Callithrix jacchus: one gene and its partners. The protein of the gene in region 1 interacts with the protein of each later gene in a pairwise test. Links are inferred from orthologs where the notes say so. Each region holds a gene or a part of one and is shown in the gene's direction. Other genes may lie near its edges.

Evidence for each region.
Region 2: the proteins of SH3BP5 (region 1) and TNKS interact in a two-hybrid assay, tested with the Homo sapiens proteins (2 studies listed by BioGRID and IntAct). The link is inferred for Callithrix jacchus from reciprocal best matches to the Homo sapiens genes SH3BP5 and TNKS.
Region 3: the proteins of SH3BP5 (region 1) and SOS1 interact in a two-hybrid assay, tested with the Homo sapiens proteins (2 studies listed by BioGRID and IntAct). The link is inferred for Callithrix jacchus from reciprocal best matches to the Homo sapiens genes SH3BP5 and SOS1.

The regions. Positions count from the first base shown.
Region 1 is NC_133518.1:54,143,246-54,150,801, reverse strand, and holds the start of SH3BP5 (SH3 domain-binding protein 5), read left to right. Parts: upstream 1-3,023; 5' UTR 3,024-3,197; coding exon 3,198-3,341; intron 3,342-5,003; coding exon 5,004-5,066; intron 5,067-7,556. UniProt on the Homo sapiens protein: Functions as a guanine nucleotide exchange factor (GEF) with specificity for RAB11A and RAB25. Inhibits the auto- and transphosphorylation activity of BTK. Plays a negative regulatory role in BTK-related cytoplasmic signaling in B-cells.
Region 2 is NC_133514.1:30,238,885-30,246,440, forward strand, and holds the start of TNKS (poly [ADP-ribose] polymerase tankyrase-1), read left to right. Parts: upstream 1-3,146; 5' UTR 3,147-3,172; coding exon 3,173-3,839; intron 3,840-7,556.
Region 3 is NC_133515.1:75,895,887-75,903,442, forward strand, and holds the start of SOS1 (son of sevenless homolog 1), read left to right. Parts: upstream 1-3,516; 5' UTR 3,517-3,952; coding exon 3,953-4,039; intron 4,040-7,556.

The DNA.
Region 1 (7,556 bases):
CATATAACCTGTATACAGCCTCCTGTATACTTTTTTTTTCATTAGAAAAGTGTTTTTTTTGAGATAGGGTCTTGCTCTATCATCCAGGCTGGAGTGCAGTGGCATGATCAGGGTCACTGCAGCCTTGACTTCCAGGGCTCAAGTGATCTACCTCAGCCTCTAGAGTAGCTGGGACTACAGGCATGTGCTACCATGCCCTGCTAATTAAAAAAAATTTTATTTACAAATAAATAAATAAATTTTATTTTAAATTACAAAATTTAAAAGGTCTTGCTTTGTTGCCCATGCTGGTCTCAAACTCCTGGCCTCAAGCAATCCTCCCTTCTGCCTTGGCCTCCCAAAAGACAGATTACAGGCATCAGCCACCATGTCTGTCCCCTTCTGTATACTTTGTTATTATTTATATATTTATTTATTTTGAGACTGGTCTTGCTGTCACCCAAGCTGGAGGGCAGTGGTGCAATCTCAGCTCACTGCAACCTCTGCCTCCTGGGCTCAAGCAGTCTTCCGATTTCAGTCTCCCAAATAGCTGGGACTACAGGCATGAGCCACCACATTTGGCTAATTTTCAGTAGTTTCTGCAGAGCTAGTGTTTCCCCATGTTGCCCAGGCTGGTCTTGAACTCCTGAGCTCAAGCAACCCACATGCCTTGGCTTCCCAAAGTGTTGAGATTACAGGTATGAGCCACCACGGGCAGCTCCTTCTGTATACTTTAAATCATCTCTAGATTTCTTACCTGCAATACCTAATGTAATGCAAATAGGTACATAGTTGTTACATACTGTATTTTTTTTTTTTCTAGAGAAAGAGGCAGTCTCACTTTGTTGCCCAGGTTGGTCTTGAACTCCCAGCCTCAAGTGATCCTCCTGCCTCAGCCTCTCAAAATGCTAGGATTACAGGTGTGAGCCACCATGCTTGGCCATGTATTTTTAAATATAGATTTAAAAAATTGTTGTGTTTTTTTCCCCCAAATATTTTCTGTCTTTGGTTAGTTGAATTTACATATGTGGAACTCAAGAGGCTACGGAAGGTCGACTGGTTATTTTTCTTATTTTAACTTTAGAAACACTACTGGGATTAGCACTATAGCTGGCCCAGATCTCCAAAAAATAAGATGACGAAAGTCTGAACTGATGTTCTTAGGCAGCTGGGCTATGTCTCATAGGTACATTTTGAACCATTATGTTGGTCTAAGCTTAAGCAGAAATGTACTTCGGAGTTTGCTGATGAGAATGGAGAGGACGGGGTGCTACCAGCTGATGAGAATGGAGAGCACGGGGTGCTGCCAGCTGATGAGAATGGAGAGGACGGGGTGCTGCCAGCTGATTAGAATGGAGAGGACGGGGTGCTGCCAGCTGATGAGAATGGAGAGGACGGAGTGCTGCCAGCTGAGATGCATTTCTCATGGTCAGGGCTGACCCCACGGTTCTCTGTTTTATTTCAAACCCTCTCACTTTATTCAGAGCTAGGAAGTACCTGCCAGTTGGAGGGTCAATTCAAAGCCACCAGGGAACACTGGTGGCTCATGTGTCACAAAGTGACGCCTATGGCTATCTTGTCCCTGGCTTCATCTATCATTGGAAAACCAAAAGCAACTATACTTTAGCAAGGAGCTTTGAAACGCCTCTCACAGGCGTTTCAAACGCTGACTCATCCTTGATTTAAAGAGCAATGAACAGGTCTGACCTTTTTAGAAACAAACCATGGCACTACCTCCAGGAGACAATGGACTATAGTGCCAGCGGGGTATGGGGTGGTGCCTTGCCCAAGGAGTAACCCTCTAGCCTAGTTTCTGACAAAACCACCAGAAGCAAATTTATTTATTTATTTTGAGAAGCGGGGGGGGGGGGGGGGGTCTAGCTGTATTGCTCAGGCTGGTCTTGAACTCCTGTCCTCAAGTGATCCTTGCGTCCTGGCCTCTCAAAGAGCTGGTATTACAGATATGAGCCACCACGTCATACTAGACACAGGTGTTATAAGGTGGCTTTGATGACAGGTTCTCAGAAAGAAGCCCCTTTCTTAAGCAAAATTGTCCACAAATTTTGGACAACTGGTGGACAATTTTGTTTAAGCGGATGGGCCACAGGCCTCCCTCGAGAACATGAGAACGTTCTGCATTTCTGGAGGGAGGGAGACGTTGGCAGCCATGTGCTCACCTGCTTTGCCAAGGTCATTCTTCGTGTTCCCCTGACATCACAGTGGCCCTGACATAAAAGCAGAAGCGTGCCCCTTCAGTTTGGCTTTGTCGGGTGCTGTGTCTGCCAGGCAAGCTTGACCTCCCTACTCGTTGATGGTGGGCAGAAAGTCTCACTAATTCACAAATTCCTGGCCAGAGCGTGCCCATCAACAGCGGTTGCACTTGCCACCTCCTTAAAAAGGCTGTGTCAGCCCACTGGCATCCCAGCTCAATGCATTCTCCATGCTGCCTCGGTATTCAGGTAGGACCGCGGCACCTCTGTGTTTGGGTATGGGGCGCGCCCAGAGGGGCCGCAGCCTTCGGCCATGCAGTTGCGCACGGAACTGCAGCTGGTTCTCCTCTCTGCACTCCTGCGTCTACGTGAGCACACATTTTAGTTTCCTTTTCTGGGGAAATCTTTGAGGAGGCCCCATTCCCAAGGGTTGCCCAAGGGGAGGAATGTGGTTTGGTAAGTACAGGGGTTCGGCAAGTCTTTTTACTGGTTGAGGGTCACTGAGCGCAGGTTTCTGAAAGCGACTTCAGCGTGAAAGCACCCCACATTCCCACCGCACACTCAACGCGCCTCGGGGGAGGGAGGGAGAAGGGGACTCCCGAAAGCCGGAGGCTTGCGTTGCGTAGTTGAGATATATCCGGGCTGCTAAGTGACAAGGGGGTGGGTGCTCTCCTATTTTGCCACCTCGGAGATGTGGAGGGAGCTGGGGTTTTGTGACGGAGACCTGGGTAGCTGGGACTGGCCGGGGAACGCGCGGCCGGGGCGGGACGGGGGCGGAGCGGGCGCTGCGCTGACGGCCGCTGCAGAAAGGGGGCGGCCGCGCCCATTTCCTCTGCTCCGCTGCGGCCGGAGCGATCCGCATCGGCGAGCTGCGTCTCCCGGGTGTCGGCTCCCGCGGCTCCCCGACAGTGCCCGGCTGTGGCAAGGCGGCTCCAGCCGAGCCTGTGGCGGCTGCGATTCCCGGGGCGCTCCGGAACCCAGTGCGCTGCGCGCGTGCCGGCTGCCCGCATGGACGCGGCGCTGAAGCGGAGCCGCTCGGAGGAGCCAGCCGAGCTTCTGCCGCCTGCCCGGGACGAGGAAGAAGAGGAGGAGGAGGAAGAGGGGATGGAGCAGGGGCTGGAGGAGGAAGAAGAGGTGGACCCCCGGATCCAGGTAGGGCGCGCGGAGTCGCCCCGCATCCGGGCTTCGCCGGGGATGCTGCGGAGTCGGCGTCTAAGCGGACACCCACTTCGCAGCCCCCAGTGACTGTGGTCCGGGGACTGGCGACCGCGTAGCTCTGGTGGCAAGAGAGGGTCTGTATACTCCATTTCATCGTCTCCACAATGAAGGCTGCAATGCCCGCGTGGATGCGGCCTGACTCTATTGCGGGCAGCCCCCCGCAGACCCCTAGCAGGATCGGGGTCGCCGCAGAGTGCCTAGTGGTTTGGGCTGTTGTGCAACAAAGGGAAAAAGGGGGCGGGGGCGCCCTGCTATCCTCGGGGTGCCCCTGGCCCGGCCACGGCGCCGCGGGGATGGCACGGCCTCCACGCTCTGCGAGGAGGGGTCGCCTGCGTGGGCGGCGGGCACCGTGGGCGGGTGGGCGTTGCCCGCCCCTGCGGCGTGGGCTGGCCCCAGTGCCCCGGTGCAGCGTCCTCACCTGCCGGAGGTGCTCGGCCTGAGCCGTTTTCCTTCTCTGATTCATTGTTAGCGAACTCAGCGGCTTATTGTCACCACCGGTGCAACGTTCTGTCTGGCCTGAAATTGCTTAAAACCCTGCTTTCCCTTGTTGTGAGGTTGGGCATGAACAGAAATCAGGGACAACTGCTGCGCAAAGCTGATGCGTGGAGGCGGCGAGGGGATTGGGCTGGCTTTCTGTGCCTCCATTTCCAAGAGAGATCTAGGAGTGACAGTTTAACCTCTTCACCCCTAAACAAAAAGCAGAGCAAATCCCTTTCCAAGACCCGTTTTCCCCAACCCTTTCAATAAATCATTTTTTAAAAATGGATTTTAAAAATGCTCTGTAATTTCTGGATCCTTAATTGCTTTTTGGTGCGCAGATCAATTTACAAGCTCACTTAACTCAGTGGTTGGGGTTTAAATGAATTGTCAGGTTAGCAACATAAAGATCAGGTGGGGAAAAAATCCTTGCATTAGGAATGCTGTAATTAAAATAATTGGTTTGGAATAAATCGCATGTTATTGGTGTGGAATTATGTTAGCAAGATCCTTTGTTTGCATAGTAAAGACGAATTAAGTTCATGTTGGATGTTTTTCACAAAATGTCAGTTTGTAAATTTTTTTTTAAAGGAAGAGAATTAAGGCTAGTTTAAAACAGCCAGCTAAGTAGGTTGAATAATTGGCAGTGTCAAAAGATTTTTACCCTTTACAGAAAAATAATTCTGATGAGTTAATACCAGAATTCTGCCCTTGATTTCACTGGATTTATATTTTTGGCTTGGCCTTGCTTATTGTCTTTTATTGTTTTCTAAGCAAAGTTCTTGCTCAAGGCAGATGGTACTGTTTTGATTAGGCCATTAAGCCATTTGTAACAGGTGGGGTTTACTTGAAGGCACATACCTGGAATATTTGACCTCAAATTCCAAATGTCCCTTAAGACATTTTCAAAAGGGACACCGTCAAGAAAATGGTTTCAGAAATGCTGACATTCATTTGCTTTTCTAGCCAAGCTTCAGCTGTTTGCCTTAAGAATTAGTACTGGTTCTTCATTTGTCCTGCAAATTGGGCTGGGGTAATTTTTCAGGTTATGGACTGAGTTATACTGGAAACAAAAGATGGATCCCTTAAGTCTTTTTTTCTCCCTCTTTTCTTCACCAGGGAGAACTGGAGAAGTTAAATCAGTCCACGGATGATATCAACAGACGGGAGACTGAACTTGAGGTACAGAGAGCTGAGTTCCTGTTCTTGAAGTGGTGTCACACCGGCACAAAGCTGGTTAATTTCGTGTTCTGACTGGAGGGTTATTGCTGGACTCCCCTCCTTGCGAGTTGAGCGACAGCTCCCTGTCTCACAGAATAAAATACACCACTGAGCTCAACCTGTGGGCGGAACGCATGTGGATCTGATTTCACATGTTGTTTTTCATTATGGAAGCTCCATGGGGCCTAAACTGAGTCTGTGCAGAGCATTGCACAATGCTTAAGCCCGGAGTTTTAATGTGACTGCAAGGACAGAGGGGAAAATTAGCTGAACTCTTTAATGGAGAATAATGAATGAGCTCACAGAATCTCTTACATGTTCTGGGCGGTTCCTACCCTTTGTCCTGGAAAGTGTTGCGTTGTTTCCTCTGACTTAGACCATTTCTTGTCTTTCCTGTCCTAGTTTAACTCCCCCTTCTGCTTCCCCGCTCCTTTCTTTATTGTCTGCTTGTGCATAGAATATAATTATAATGGTAACGAAAAGCTGTTTAGACCGGGAAGGGCTTTCCTGCTGGGAAAAATTGTTGGAAACTAAAACCCGATTTGAATTTCGTGTACGTTTTCCAACCAGAGTGTAAACAAGTTGGCATTCCTCACAGCCTCCCTTTGGTTCCCCACCCCTTCCCAGTAGTGGTGGTTTTTTTTTTACCACCCATCAGCAAATTTGAACATTGTATATATTTGGGTGAGTGACTGTCAGAGCTCAGAAGGGACTCCCAATGCAGTGTCCCAGTACAGGCAGCTGTTGGCAAGGTCTGTTTCTGTAGCAGGAGAAATAGCAAAAGTCAGTAGAAGGGACAAGAAGCATGTGGTTTCTGAGAGCGAGGGTACAGGAGACAGGAATATCATCTGCCAGGATTCACTGGCAGCCTTGATTCTGCTGCATGCGTAGCCCCTGGAGTTACCAAATCAGGATGTAGCAAGGTGGATTAAAAAGCCTGTTGCTCTGAGCTGTGTGAAGGGTTATCGTTAACCACCTCCATTTCCATCGTAGGTGTACAAGAGCACGGGCTCTCTTTCTTCCCAAGTAAAGTAAAATCAGTGTTTATTTACGTTTCTTTCACTTACGAATTGAGTCTCTTTGTGAAGTGAGTAACTGGAACCTCTTGGAAGCTCAGATTTCTAATGCATTAAACAACAAAACCTCTATCATTCCTGTAGGGCTTTAGCATTTATAGAGTGTTTTTTTTACGCTTTATTCCAGTCCATTTTGTCATACCAGCTGTTCTGTCCTATATGGTAGCCATGTGCAATGTGTGGCTATTTGAATTTAATGCAAAAAAAATTTTTTTGAGACAGAGTCTTGCTCTGTTTAGGCTAGGGTGCAGCGGTGCGATGTCTGCTCATTGCAGCAGCCGCCACCTCCTGGGCTCAGGTGATTCTCATTCCTCAGCTTCCTGAGTAGCTGGGACTACAGGTGTGCACCACCACGTCTGGTTAATGAAGTCAATTAAAATGAAGTAAGACTAAAATTCAGTTCCTCAGTCACAATAGCCACCTTTCAAGAGCCCAGTTGCCACTCTATTAAATTACTGTCATCATAGAATGTTCTGGCCTGGAGAACAAGGAGGGTAGGGACTATTTGCTTTCCAGATGAGGACTCAGAGGCTCAGCATCTCGTGGTTCTATGATGCATCAGAGCCATGCCTCCCATCCTCCAGCCATGCTTCCTCCCAGGCATTTTCCAGGTCTCTTCTGGTTCCTCTGTCCTGTTATCCCCAGTGCTGGGGTGCAATCACAGCTCACTGCAACCTCAAACACCTGGGTTCAGGCAATCCTCCTGCATCATCCTCCCCAGCAGCTGAGACTACAGGTGCATGCCACCATACCCGGCTATTTTTTCATATGTTTAAACGTTTTTGTAAAGATGGGGTCATGTTGTATTGACCAGGTTGCTCTTGAACTCCTGGCCTCAAAGTGATCCTGCCACCTTGGCCTCCCAAAGTGGTGGGATTATAGGCAGGAGTTGCCATAACCAGCCTGGAAAGTCTTCTCCCCCCTCCCCACCAAAGCATTGATTGATTCTAATTGCTCGCCTACTATGTGCCAGCCACTGTTCTGGGTAATGAACAAGATGGCCCATGCATGTCTCAGCCTCCAGAGTGCTTACCTTCCTGGGGTGAAATTGGTTAATCTGTTAAACTCTTTTTAGCCCTGACTTCTGAATCTCATTTTGGAATACTCTTAGGTATTTGTGTGTCACAGGAAGCCACCGGACAGGTGCTTCCTGCCTGAGTCTGGAGAGCATTTGGACTGTGTGAGAGGCGAACTGGAGGGTGTGAGGGGGTGGCCAGGGCTGGGCCGGGTTGCTGGCTGGCCTTTTCACGGTATTACAACCCAGACTGACTCATAGAAATATAATATGGGCTACATAAGCAATGAAAAACTCCCTAGCAGCACATTAAAAAGGAAAAAGTAACAGCTGAAATGAATTTATTTTGTTTAACCCGAA
Region 2 (7,556 bases), on another chromosome or scaffold:
ATAACTAGACTTAGTAGAAATACTACCAGAATACCAAATACTGTGGAAGATCAATGGGAAGTATACGGATGGAATGACATACCAATTCTAATTGAAATATGGAACTTGTTCAAGTTCATCACTGTGTAATTTTCAGAGCATCCATGTGACCCCCAGAGGGAAAAAAAGCAAACATGAGAACACAGTCCAAAACATGGGTGTCCTTTAAGTTGGTGGCTTTTCTTTTGTGTCAACAGTACAGCGTGAGAGTGCTGTGTGCTCCCATTTTTGTAGTACTTGGGTATACTTTGCGCGCACGCGCGTGTGTGTGTGTGTGTGTGTGTACACAGGGTCTCACTTTGTTGTCCAGGCTGATCTTGGTTTCCTGGGATCAAGCAATCTCCTGCCTTAGCTTCCCAAAATGCTAGGATTTTAAGTGTGAGCCACTGTACTCGGCCAACATATGATTTTTGTGAAAACACTTTTGAAAATAAGATGCTACACAACTGTGATCAACAATAGTTTGGAGATAGGTTTTATAAAGAATCCTGAATTATCTTAAATCTATGTTACATTGCTTTAGATTCCTGTTATGTGCAAAATGATGGATATTTATTCCAAGCCCCTATCTTTGTCACAGAGGAAGTTGAGAGGGGAACGCTATCAATAGTGGCTGTGAGTTCGTGTCAACACTTTATGCATGCCATGGAAGAGAGTGGATCTAACATTCAGAGTGCTTATAAAACACCTAGGCTTTTAATCTTCCTGACAGTGCTACAGTAAAATCAAAATTTTAGTCTGAGTGAGCTGGAGCATGTCTATCAAGATTAGCCAACTAGTAACCATCAGAGATGTGACTTTCAAGCCCAGGTTTCTTCCATCCCAAGCTTTGCTCTTTCCACTATGATAATAGTGCATTCCTCATGGAATTGTGTTTAGCCACAGAAGATTAGGTAATGGCATCTGTCCTTCCATGTTTAGAGCTAAACTTTAGTAAGTATAAACTTAAACTTTACAAATACTTAATGTTAAGTACTTTTACTACTTTCTACTGGAGGGGAAAAAAGCAATTTTCAATTGATTGACTGCATTTCCAGACATGGTTTTCCAGCATAGTTTCAGTCAATTTAGTTTTTAAAAATCTCTATCCAGCAGAGACTTCCTAATTATTATTATATCGTACTTCTTTCTATGAGTAACTGGCCATTGGGAGACCAAATATTTCTTATGCTTCCCATTCCAGGAGGCCATTATCAAGGGGACATATGGTTTGTTATGAACATCTAACGTATCATGTTGGTCCACCCCTACTTCTCAATGGTACTCTGCTCTACATCAAGGAGTTAAGATTAAAAACCAGAAGAATAAAGAATGTTGTGGACTGATTTTAGTTTCACTGATGTGAGTTTGCCCATCCAGCCACACTATTTGGCAGGTGTCTACTGTGAACAGTGGCACAATTTCATCAGACAGATGGATAATGTTAAGAATTATAATCTGTAACCCTAGATTAGATGAAAATAAATGCCACTTGTAACACCAATTATGTTCCTGACCTTATTGTATTTAGTAATTCCAAATAAACTCATCTATTTATTTAAATGGGAATATTAACAACACACAAATCACATTTAACGATGAACACATGATAAAATTTATCACCTGCTTTAATATTCTACTTGACTCATCTAAGTCTTATTTCTCTTAGGTCATGGAATTTCCATCTGTGTTCACTCTATTGGACTAATGATGTTTGTGTATACTTCTACAATGCCTGCTTTACTATTGAACAGTAGATATGAAATGGAGTCCTCACTGCGATTATCTCATTCATTGATATATCTTTTGATGGCCAAAAAAAAAAAAAAAAAAAAAAAAAAGTATACATAGGTAGGGGAAAGACAGAAAAAACAGTTGCTGAAAAATGACACCTGATAGTGAGTGATGGACAGCAATCAGGATGTTTTGTTTTGTTGTTTTTGTGACAGGGTCTCTGTCCTCTGTCACCCAGGCTGGAGTGCAGTGATGTGACCTCGGGTCACTGCAACCTCTGCCTCCTGGGCTCAAGTGACCCTCTCAACACAGAGTTCCAAGTAGCTGGGACTCTACAAATGTACCACTTTGCACAGCTAATTTGTGTGTTTTTTGTAGAGATGGAGTTTCGTCATCATGGCCAGGCTGGTCTCAAACTCCTAAGCTCAAGTGATCTTCCCGCTTCAGCCTCCCAAAGAGCTAGGATTACAGGCATGAGCCACCATGACCAGCCTAACAATCAGGTTTCTATCTCCTTGGGATGTGAGAGAGGCTAAGTAAGCTAAACCAAAATTCAAAAGAAAGAATATAATTAGTTAACCTTAGGGTGAAAAATAAAATTTCAGAGATAACAGAATAGGAAAAAAAAAATCATAATTTTAATAGTTCACACTTATTGGACTATTGTTATTTCAATTTTAAAGAGAGAAACAGGTATAGAGTGATGACAGAACTAGCTCAGATATATACAACAAATGGCAGAGCTGGAATGCCAATCCTAGCCATCTGAACCAGTATTTCAAAAAGAGGAATTAAAGAACATAGGGTGAGAAACATTATAGGGAGGGGACAAGAGCTCAAGGGGACACCTGGAAAAGAAAGGCTGCAATCTAAAAACTTACCAACGGGCTAATTATAGTTGTGTTTTACTGGCAGAGCGCTTTGTCTATGTTACCTCTTTTAATCCCGATAATAATTCTGTGAGGTTGGTACTATTAGTTCCAGTTTTCAGACGAGGATGCTTGATAGATGATAATCGACACATTCTCGGCTTGCTCTGAGCTGCATCTCAACAGCTAGCTCTGGAGCGAGCAAAGCGAGACTGAGGTAGACTTCGCAACAGAGCGGAGCAGGGCTAGAAAAGCCGACTGAAAGTGAGAAATGCAGGAATTTTTTCCCATGTAGGCAGAAGCTGGTTCTAGTATTCAAATCTCTCCATCTGGCCCGCCATCACGTCACAAAGCCCGCTTCACAGTGACAAAACCCCGCCCCGCTCCCGTGGCTGTTCTCTGAGCTCCCAATACTTCCCTCCTTCTCTTTGGCCCCGCCTACCCCGCCTAGCATCATTTCCTGTGCGCTGGATGCTGATTGGTCCGGCAGTCGGAAGTGAGGGCGGGCGGTGGGGCCGTTGCCGCAGTGACAGTGCTAGGGGAGTCCGAAGATGGCGGCGTCGCGTCGCTCTCAGCATCATCACCACCATCATCAACAACAGCTCCAGCCCGCCCCAGGGGCTTCAGCGCCGCCGCCGCCACCTCCTCCCCCACTCAGTCCTGGCCTGGCCCCGGGGACCACCCCAGCCTCCCCCACGGCCGGCGGCCTGGCCCCCTTCGCCTCCCCGCGGCACGGCCTAGCGCTGCCGGAGGGGGATGGCAGTCGGGATCCGCCCGACAGGCCCCGATCCCCGGACCCGGTTGACAGTAGCAGCTGTTGCACTACCACCAGCACAATCTGTACCGTCGCCGCCGCTCCCGTGGTCCCAGCGGTTTCTGCTTCATCTGCCGTTGGGGTCGCTCCCAACCCAGCTGGCAGTAACAATTCACCGTCGTCCTCTTCTTCCCCGACTTCATCCTCATCTTCCTCTCCATCCTCCCCTGGATCGAGCTTGGCGGAGAGCCCGGAGGCGGCCGGCGTTAGCAGCACAGCACCATTGGGGCCTGGGGCAGCGGGACCTGGGACAGGGGTCCCAGCAGTGAGCGGGGCCCTACGGGAACTGCTGGAGGCCTGTCGCAATGGGGACGTGTCCCGGGTAAAGAGGCTGGTGGACGCGGCAAACGTAAATGCAAAGGACATGGCCGGCCGGAAGTCTTCTCCCCTGCACTTCGCTGCAGGTCAGAGACTTTTGAATTGTTTATTACGGGTTTTGGGTTTGGGTGCTGGGTCCGGCTGGGACAGGAAAACAGGTTATCGTGATGGGACAAAGTGGGGGCGTGGTCATGGTTCTTCAACATCTCACCAGAAGACTAGAGGTTCCTTTCTTTTGATGGTGCCTGGGTGATGGGGGGCGTGGTTGGGGGGATATGTGAATCCAAGGAATTCTTCAGCGTTTGCACAGTGACACTTGTACTCATTACAAAACTCACTGTAGTTGATAGTCTTTGTATATGAGTATGTTTACACTTTAGTTTTTAGTGTGCAGGAATAAAGTTAGATTTGGACAGCTTTAGAGTGGTTTTGTTGTTTGTGTGAAAGTTTGTTTTTACAAAGGTATGTCTCTTGAGGACACTCCAGATCAAAAGAGGTTGAATACAACTCAACAAGTGTTTGAGGATCTGTTGCAGTCTTAGTAACCCAATGAAAGACGTAAATGAAGTTTTTGAAAGTTTCCCTTTTTATAAAGGAGTTTACAGTCTAGATGGGGAGGCCAAAATATGTCAATGTGAAACAACTGGAGAAGAATATTTGGATGTGTTATATGATGATGGAAGAGATACAGGCTTTGATGTGACTACTGTTTGTTGTCTAACACCGTTTACCTTGTGTCCGTTGCCTCAGTTTTCTGAAATCATAAAATGATGTTTTACGAGCATTTAGTGAGAAGTATCTGGCACAAAGTTCTCCCTCAAAAAGTGTGAATTTCTTAAACTCTGGACCCCATACTTGTCTTTTTTTTCTTTCTTTTTTTTTTTTGCAAGTAATTGATTTTCTCTTAAAGACACCTAACATATGTTTATAAGATAAAACTGTAAAATAAAAAGAAAGGACCACAGTCTTACTGCCTAGATACCCATTGTTATTTTAAAAATGTAGGTTATGTTATATACATTAGAAACATTATATTAGAAATGTATACATTATACATTACACAATTCAAATAAGACAGAAAAATACAAAGTATCACACACTCACAAACATCAAAGATAATGCACCAAAGATAACTTGTTCTTTTCTATATATCTAATATTATAACTCCTTCAGTTTGTTCTGTTAGTAGTAAAACAGGTGTTGACTCACTGTAGTATTATTTAATTTATTTTAACCGCAACTTGGGAGATATTGTTAACCATTTACAAGATGACAAAAGTGAAGCATAGATTGCTTAAATAAGTCCAAATTCACTCAGGAAATGGTTGAAATTGAGGCAGTTTGATTTTAGAGCTTGTGAAATCAAACTTAAACTGTCAGAACCGTGGACTAAGGTCACTTTTCATTTTTGGGAGTAATTGCAGTGCAGAGTTCCTGTTTTGGGAGAAGTAGTAATGGGAGGGCTTACATGCAAGAGAGTAGCTTTCACATGTTTTTTATTGTAGCCCATACTTAGAAATACATTTTACATGGTCACTTATGCAACTGAATCAAAAGTTTCAGGAGACAGTACTTTCCCTTAGTCTATGTGTTGTCCTCTGATATTTTATATCTTATTCCATTTCATTTTTAGCAAATGCTGTTTGTGATCCATTAATGGGTCATGACCAGTGGTATGAGAAACACTTAAAGGAAATCTTTATTAGGTCACTGGATTCATTCTTGATATACAAACACTACTATTAGGGATGCAGTGAATTGAATCATAAACAGACTTTTGTCTATTTGTTTGCTCAAGGGTTTTGCTTGTTTTAGATGAAATAGCATTTCTTTTTCTTTAGGCTAAATGAAAGGCCTGAGTCTAATTTTATAAATCAACAGAGGTGTCTACTTTTCCATACTTTATCCTAAGTTTAACTATTTTAACAAATTCTTTTACAAATCATGTAATTTCTCACCATACCACTTTATAAGTAATCACCAACCATTGATAGTTATATTTATGCATATTAATGTATTTAAGATAAGTCACACAAAATAGTGCTTGTCTCCCAAAACACGAGTCTTCTATTTGCCATAATAGTTATCAGAGTTTTATGCATATCCAGATAAGCTAGAACATAAACAATAAATCAGTACTGTAATTATGTTGTAGTTATGAGGACCTAACCTTGAATTGGCTTTTTTAGAAAATTTTTAGCTCAGTTGTGGAAAACACAATAATAAAATTCTTGATGATATGAAAACATCCTGTATTCGGTTTGCACACTTCCATGTTTGAATGCATGACATTAAAGTTTTATTAAACTGTAGTCTTGTTTATCATGTATAGGCTGAGAAACAAAAAAATTACCAGTTGTCTGGTTATTATGATAGTTATTGAATTGCCATGGAATAACTGTTTTAAAGATGAGAAATTGGTACAATTGGATGAAAAAATTTAAAAATTACAGTATTTGTTCCAGAAATATTTTAGTGTACTTAGATGATCAGGTGTTAAATACTGATACAATTGTATCATGGCAAACAGTTCTTAACCCTTATGGAACTTACCATCTAGTGGGGAAGCATAAACAACAACAGCAAAAGCCTACCAAGTATCTAGTGTCTAGTCTAGAGTGATAGGAAACCTACATTATATCTCTATCCCAGTATGTAATAGGAGCTCATATCCTTATTTTAGAGAAGTTAAGGAAGTCTTTCTAGGTAGATTTTTTTAAACCAGGAATTTAAAGAGTGAGCCCAAGCTAGCCAAGCAAAGGTTGGAAGGGAGGATGTTAACTAATGCTTTTATTTGTGTTTAAAAATGGGTTTACAGTTCTATAGAATGAAATGAAACAATTTTTTTTTTTCTTTCCAACTTTTAGGTTCAGGGGTTACATGTGCAGGTTTGTAACATGGGTAAATTGTGTGTCGTGCTGGGTTTGGTATACAGATTATGTCATCACCTAGGTAATGAACATAGTACCAAATAGGTAGTTTTTTGACTTTCACCCTCCTCCCACCCTCTACCCTCCAGCCTCAAGTAAGTCTCAGTGTGTCTTAGTCCTTTGTCTGTGTCCATGTGTACTTAAGGTTTAGCTCCCACTTATTTAAGTGAGCACATGTGGTATTTGGAAATCACTTTTAAACATCTCAGAAGTGGTATGAAACCATGTTTAAATCCTTATCACTTTATTTATATTATCTTAAGAATAACCATATTATTTCCAGCAGTAGAATTAAGAATCCTTTCTATCCTGTCTTGGATTTTGATAATTTGTTTAGAATATGGTTTACAAACTGTGTTAATAATAGAATCATCTTATCTGCAATTAAGACAAAATCTTGTTTCCATTTTATTTTATTTTATTTTATTTTTGAAACAGAATCTCGCTCTGTCGCCAGGCACCAGGCTGGAGTGCAGTGGCTCCATCTCGGTTCACTGCAACCTCCGCCTCCCAGGTTCAAGCAATTCTCCTGCCTCAGCCTCCAGAGTAGCTGGGACTGCAGGCTCGTGCCACCATGTCTAGCTAACTTTTGTATTTTAGTAGAGATGGGGTTTCACTTTGTTGGCCACGATGGTCTCGATCTCTTGACCTTGTGATCCACCCGCCTCAGCCTCCCAAAGTGCTGGGATTGCAGGTGTAAGCCACTGAGCCCAGCCCTTGTTTCCATTGTTGATACAGGTTCTTGAAATACTATTTCTGATGCCTTCATACGATGGCTTTGTAAAAGTGATCCATTCTTTTATTGTTGACTAGAATTTATATGAGACTTTTTTTTTTCTACAGATGTGGTTCTTGACCCTGGTTTTCTTTTGA
Region 3 (7,556 bases), on another chromosome or scaffold:
TGAAGGGGACCTTAGAGGTCAGCATCCCCAACCCCTTGGCCCTAGTGAGTGAACGTACGAATTTTACTTGCACACCCCGAAAATCTCCCGTTTCCTGGGATCAACGTTAATTATGTAATCCTGGAAGTTTCCTGCATGCAAGTTTCATTCCTTCAATATTTGTTGCTACCTACTGTGTGCAGACATTGTAGGTCCTGGGGATACGATTAAAACCGGTGATGAACGAAACGCACAGGATTGTTGCTCTTGGCCAAGGGCGGTGACTCACGCCTGTAATCCCAGCACTTTGGGAGGCGGACGTAGGCGGATCACAAGGTCAGGTGTTCGAGACCAGCCCGACCAATATGCTGACACCGCGTCTCTACTAAAAATACAAAAATTAGCCGGGCGTGGTGGCGTGCACCGGTAGTCCCAGCTACTCTGGAGACTGAGGCAGGAAAATCACCTGAACCTGTGAGGTAATGGTAGCAAGTGAGCCAAGATCTCTGCATTCCAGCCTGGGCGACAAAGTGATATTCTGTCTCAAAAAGTGTCGGTCTCCGGCCCGGCGCGGTGGCTCACGCCTATAATCCCAGCACTTTGGAAGGCCGAGGTGGGTGGATCACGAGGTCAAGAGATCGAGACCATCCTGGTCAACAAGGTGAAACCCTGTCTCTACTAAAAATACAAAAATTAGCTGGGCATGGTGGTGCGCGCCTGTAGTCCCAGCTACTCGGGAGACTGAGGCAGAATTGCTTGAACCCAGAAGGTGGAGGTTGCGGTGAGCCGAGATTGCACCATTGCACTCCAGTCTGGGTAACAACAGCAAAACTCCATCTCAAAAAAAAAAAAAAAAAAAAAAGATTGTCGGTCTCTAGGAGTTTATATTCTATTTGGAGGCAAAAGGGAAACCAACAACCAAAAACAAAGGCCTGATTTGATTTAGTGCTAGCAGGAAATAAAAAGGACATACAGTAGAAATACACAGGTGAGAATTACTTGGAGTGATAGGAGAAGGCCTCTGGGAGGTTGTGATGTTTATAACCATCCAAGTGAACAGTTAGGAGTTCTGGGCTGAGAGAAGAACAATGTTCTTGAGGCAGGTTGTTGTTTTCTAGGAATAGATAGAAGGCCAGTGTGACTGGAGTGTGGTGAAGCAAGGCTGTGAATGGTGAAAAAACGTTGAACGTGAGCAGGAGCCAGATGCATGCCTTTGTGGTGTACGGAAGAAGTTTGAAATGTATTCTTTTTTTTTTTTTTTTTGAGACGGAGTTTCACCCTTGTTACCCAGGCTGGAGTGCAATGGCGCAATCTCGGCTCACCGCAACCTCCGCCTCCTGGGCTCAGGCAATTCTCCTGCCTCAGCCTCCCCAGTAGCTGGGACTACAGGCATGCGCCACCATGCCCAGCTAATTTTTTGTATCTTTAGTAGAGACGGGGTTTCACCATGTTGACCAGGATGGTCTCGATCTCTTGACCTCGTGATCCACCCGCCTCGGCCTCCCAAAGTGCTGGGATTACAGGCTTGAGCCACCGCGCCGGGCCCAAAATGTATTCTAAGAGCAATGGGAGGCCAAGCAATAGTTTGTGGTACGGGCTTGATCTTGGTTCATTTGGAACCATACAAACCAATCTTTTCCCCCAAATCACAAGCCTTTAAATATTTGAAGAGAGCTAATATATTCTTCTGAGACCCCTTCTCATGCCCCCAGCTCCTCTCCAAGCTGGAGTTTCTCTACATCTTCTTATCCAAAGGATTTATGGATGGATTTCAGAACATCATTCCAAACGCTTTGAAAGTGAAGAGTTTTTCAAATGTAAATCATGTATGTATGTTTTCATTTCTAAAGTAAAAAAGTAGAGATGGGTCTTGCTAGCCTGGTCACGAACTCTTGGGCTCAAACCCCTCAGTCTTCCAAAGTGTTGGGATTACAGGTGTGAGCCACTGCGCCTGGCTGGTGTGTGTGTGTGTGTGTGCGTGTTTTGAGATGGAGTCTCATTTTGTTGCTCAGGCTGGAGTGCAGTGGCACAATCGCAGCTCACTGCCACCTCTGCCTCCTGGGTTCAAGGGATTCTCCTGCCTCAGCCTCCCAAGTAGGTGGGATTACAGGTGCTCACCACCATGCCCAGTTAATTTTTCTATTTTTAGCAAAGACAAGGTTTCACCATGTTGGCCAGGCTGGTTTCGAACTCCTGACCTCAGGTGATACACCTACCCTGTCCTCCCAAAGTGCTGGCATTATAAGGCATGAACCACCTTGCCCACTGGCCTGTATATTTTTAAAGGAAATAACTGAAGACTTTCTTTTTTTTTTTTCTTTTTCAGATTTTCACAGAGGTCCTGTAAAGATTATGAACCACTGAACATTTCTCATCTACGTGATCCTGGCTGTTGTTCTTAGGAATAGCAGGACACAATGTCAGCTTCAACCCAAGCTAGTTCCTCTAAACTGCATTCTTATCGGTGAAATGAAAATAATAGGGTTGCTATGGGGATTAAATCAGATGATACTCCAGAAGTGATCATTAATGATAAACCATGAGGTGTCTGCCACAAAGTGCCACTATTATAAACAGTGGCCTGGAGGGACAGTTTATATATACCGGTCCTTTAGCATTCCACTTTCACTGAGTGCCTGTTCTGTGTGGAGGACCTGGTGAAAAAAATCTGCCTTCCAGTTTATTATGTAGTTGAAAGAACCACAAAAGATACAAAACACTATAGACCAAATGCCCTGAGAGAGGAATAAGTGCAGTGTTCTGGGAGCTTTAGAAGAGGTCTCAGTATCCATTGGAGGAAAGTGCTTATTGGAATTCATATTTGGAGAGGGTTGAAAAGATGAACAAATGCAATCTAACACACACAGAAAATCAATACTACATGTACACATTTTATTCTTGATGACGTGGAAAGACCAGTTAAAAACACTGCGATCACTTCTATTGCCCAGCAGATACTTAGCAGTAGGTTTCGAGACAGAGCACCTGTATATTTTGTCCGGTCTGTTTACTATACATTGCGTGCTGGGCAGTCCTTATCTTTGTGTTCGGGAACAAAGTACACACGCCCCTTTCCGAAACGAAAGGCCCAGGGACTCAGAGAGGGGTAGGAGCCCTCACGGCTAGACCACACAGTGGGGGCTTCTTTACCGTAGTTCTTACCCCCTCTGCAGGCCCCACTTTGCCAGGGTTCGATTTCTCGGGCCCTTTCGCCCCTCCTCAGGAGTCCCCAGGAGCGCAACCACAGCCCGGTCAGGCGCCCTGCCTCCCTTCCCCACTCCCCCCGCCCCCAGCTTCCCTCCTCCTTCACCGGGAGCCGGAAAACCCGGAGCGAACCAGCCCAGCCCGGCAGCGCATGCTCAGTAGCGCGCAGGTTCAGTTTGCTAGTAGGAAGCTCCAGCGCTACACCGGCGGCGGCAGCGGCGGCACCTCAGGGCAGCCAGATTCCCCAACAACGACCTCGGGTCCTTCCCCTTCCCCGCGAAACCCCCTCCCCCAGCTCCGCCCCACCCGAGGGCTCTTGCGTTTCGGAGTCTCAACTGCGCGGAGCGGGCGCCGCGGCCAGAGCGTCCCTCCACACGTCCTCCCCCAGCCGCCAGCTCTGCCGCGGGGCCAGGCCGGACCCGGGAGTGCAGCCCCGGCAGGCGGCGGCGGTGTAGCGGGCCGCCCGGGGCGGCGCCGGCGGGCCAGGGAGGGGCGGGGGGGCCTGGCCCCGGGGCGGTGGTGCGGGATGCCGCCGCCTCCGGGTCGCATTCGTTCTCCACGGCTAGTACCCGTGTCGGGTGGGTGGCTGGGCGTGGGCCTCGCCCTTCAGCCCCCTCGCCAGGGCTAGCCCGGCTGCGCGGCGCCCGGAGGGGGCCGGGCCGTCCGGTGGGGCCGCGGCCCTATTCCGCGCAGCGAGCTCGCCCTCTCGCGGCTCCCCGGCCGGGCCGCCGCCGCCCCTCTCCCCGCCCAGAGGCGCCCTGGGGGCACCATGCAGGCGCAGCAGCTGCCCTACGAGTTTTTCAGCGAAGAGAACGCGCCCAAGTGGCGAGGACTGCTGGTGCCTGCCCTGAAAAAGGTGAGGAGCACGCCGGACCCCGCTTCCCGGCCGCAGCCCCCCAGCGCGGGCGCCGAGCAGGCGCAGGGGAAGGGCTGGGGAGGCGGGGCGCGCGCGCAGGGCCGTCTTTCTTCCCTGTCTCGCCGCGTCTCCGAAAGGACGGCGCACACGGGGAGGTCCCCCACACGGCTGGCTCTCAGTGTTGACATCCACCCGTAGTGTGGGAAGGCCGCGGGGAGCCGCGGGCAGTTGCTCCGAATAATCCAACCCCGAGAGGTGAATGCTTTGCCCTTTGATTCCGAGACAACGGTTGGAGAAGCCTCAGTTTTCAGTGGAGGTCAAAGCAGGCCACTTTTCCGCCTTCTCGGTCTTAGCCCGGAGCTGTTGTCAGCCTCATGTTTTAGGTGTCCAGTATGCTCGTTTTAGTGGCTTGAGAATGCCCTGGCCGTAACGCTTGCTCTAAGGAATTGCGAGCTCGCCTGCCAGCAGGAGCGTGGCCTGCTCCGCTCGTCCTCAGTAATCACTCTCTGTTCTCCTGATCTCCCCTGCTCCTCGGATTAACAGGGGCTGGTGCACATGCTACCAATTTCAGGGGTTTTGTTTTGTTTTTGCGGCATTCGAGATTCTTGGTGCTGTCATTTGGCTTGTTAAGAATTTTTAGTCTTTGTATGTTTAAGTTTGCTGTGTTTTTAAATGTTTTAGTATAATTAGGAAATGTTACATTTTTAAAGCTTCTAGAGCAACAGTGTACTAGACTATTTTTGTTTCCTTTTCTTCATTTACCTTTTCTACAAAGATTGCTTTACTCATCTAAGAGTGTTTCTAAATCTGTTTCTTGCTGCTCGAAGACTCTTTCATGTTAATTAGTTAACATATAGTTTTGCTTCTACTAAGAATGGAGATTATGTTGTACCTTTTATGCTAAGCATTAAAAGGTGTCTGATAGTGCTTAAAGGCCAGTAACTTTTACTTTCCCCTTTGCCCTGTTCTCTTGTCCCTCTTGCTATCTTACAGTGGAAACTATTTGGTTTGTTAGGAGAATTTGCTTATGTATTTCTGACTTAAGTTACTGACATTTTCCCCTTCAGGTGTCTGACTAGTCACGAACACCTATGTGATTTTTCTTTTTTTTTTTTTTAAAGAAAACCAAAAAGATGCCATATATCCTTTTCTTTTCTTTTTTAAATAAGATGGGGTTTCACCATGATGGCCAGGCTGGTCTTGAACTTCTGACCTCAGGTGATCCACCCACCTCGGCCTCCCAAAGTGCTAGGATTACAGGCGTGAGCCACTGCACCCAGCCGCCATATGTCTTATGTACTTTAATCCTTAGAAATCCCGTCAGGTTCTCACTACTTACTTTTGCTTTACCTGCAAGTTTGACTTCTTAGCGTGTAATGGAAGGGGTTTAGGAGGTCTCTGTGCTGCCAGAAGCTGATGTCCAGGTAGGGTAAGGGAAGACAGGGAAATTGTTTAAAAACCTGTAAAGGAACTCATAAAGCATTGCCAAATAGGGGCCATTTTGCTTAGAGGCAAAAACAGCTCCTATCCCGGGGGAATCACCAAGCTATCAGCTTAGGATCTTTTGAAGTAGTGGAAGAATACTGTAGGAGTTGACAGACCTTGTTTAATTCTGCCATGCTGGTGGCCCTTGCTGAAATCTGTCCCTAGAAGCATTTTGTTTGGCTGGCACAGTGTTGTTTTATTTTTAAATGTAATTAGTTGCTGGCATTTGAAAATGGGAGATATTACATAAAATCTGAATTTTCAGCTTTTCTTGAAGAATAGGAAGTTCTTGCTAGTTAGGGCCTGTATTCCAGCAAGGCACTAAACTGCTGGAGGTGAGTAAATGGTTGTCCTCTTTAGACAAGGCATGTATCTCCACCTTACCACAACCCCCACTTGTCCTCTTTGTTTATTTACGTAAACCAACTTTTGAATTTAAGGTAGAGATACTTTTGCAGTAAGTGATAGAAGAAGGTGGAAGTATACATAATCTAGCTAATGTGTAAGGTTCTTCCAATTCTTAAATAGCCAATAACTATGATTCTAAGACAAGATTGAAAATACAGTGTATTTCATATCTGGATATGTTGTCCGTAGCTCCAAACCTACATTTTTACCTGCCTGCTGGACATTTCATGTGGATATCTCCATATCTTGATTTCTTTTGATTCACTATTGAATTATTTATAGATGCATCCAACTTGTGCTCTCTTACTCTTACCTGAGGCTCTTTGGACATGCTAGTCCCCTCACCTTTCTTTGCCTGATCCAACACTACTCATCCTTCTAGACTTACTCAACCTGGACTATCACATCAGGGCTGAGTTGGATATTACTCCTTTGTTTTCTTTTCGCGCCCCATCCTAGCTGTGTGAGTTTTAAGTTCCTATTTACTTGTCTATAACTAGATTGGATGCTGTTTGAGAACAGGGATAGTATCTTACCCTCATTTTATTCCCCATGCGTACAGTGCTAGATACCTAGTGGCCACTCAATTTGAATAAATAGGTGAGGGGATATACAAACTAAAACTATCACTTCTGTCCTCCACCTACCATTTAAGTTTTTCTTAATGGCTTTATTACTGCATTTGACTGGTTTGAAATGTTAGAATCATCTCTGGCTTCTCTGTATTACTGCCCACACTCAGGTAGAGCCTTTATGTTCAATTCCTTTTAACATATTCTTCTAGTCTGTTCCCTCCTCCAACTTCTCTAAGTCTCCTTTCTCAGACTACTGTGATAATTTCTTAATTGAATTCACTACCCCTCACCTCACCGTCTGTTTCTCAAATCTCACGAGTTTTTGGCTACCTCTTAACATGTCACACTTGGAAGAACTGTTGATGTCTTTGGAATTTGGCCTATGCTAAAATGCATACTTTTTATCACGGAATTGACAGCGATTGATTTCTGGTTTATCCTGCTTTTCTGACTGGATTGTCTACCATAATCTTTTATCTTCTTTATTCTTTAGCCAGACTGGACTGCTGCTTTTGCTCAATATGGATGGAATGTCCCACTGTTATCTATTTCACTGCATCTGTGAATCTAAGTTCTATCTTATCTATTGCACAAATATATCATGCCTACTATAGATCAGGTATTGCCCTTGACACTCAAGTTAAAAAGGTAAATGACATAATCAGGAAAGACTAAATAAGAACATGATGGGAAGTAGCAGGGCATGTCTGGAGAGACAACTGGTTTGTGGACAGTTTTTATATATGTTAAGCTAAGGAATTTGAATTTTATCTTGTGAAGTTGGAAGCCATCAGTAAGGTTTCTTTTGTTTGTTTGGTTTGTTTTATTTGTTTGTTTTGAGACAGGGTCTCACCAGGCTGGAGTGCAGTGGTGCGATCTTGGCTTACTTCAACCTCTACCTCCCCAGCTTAAGTGATCCTCCCACCTCAGCCTCCTGAGTAGCTGAGATTATAGGCACACACTGCCACACCTGGCTAATTTTTGTATTTTTTTGTGAAGATGGGGTTTTGCCGTGTTGCCGAGGCTGGTCTTGACCTCCTGGGCTCAAG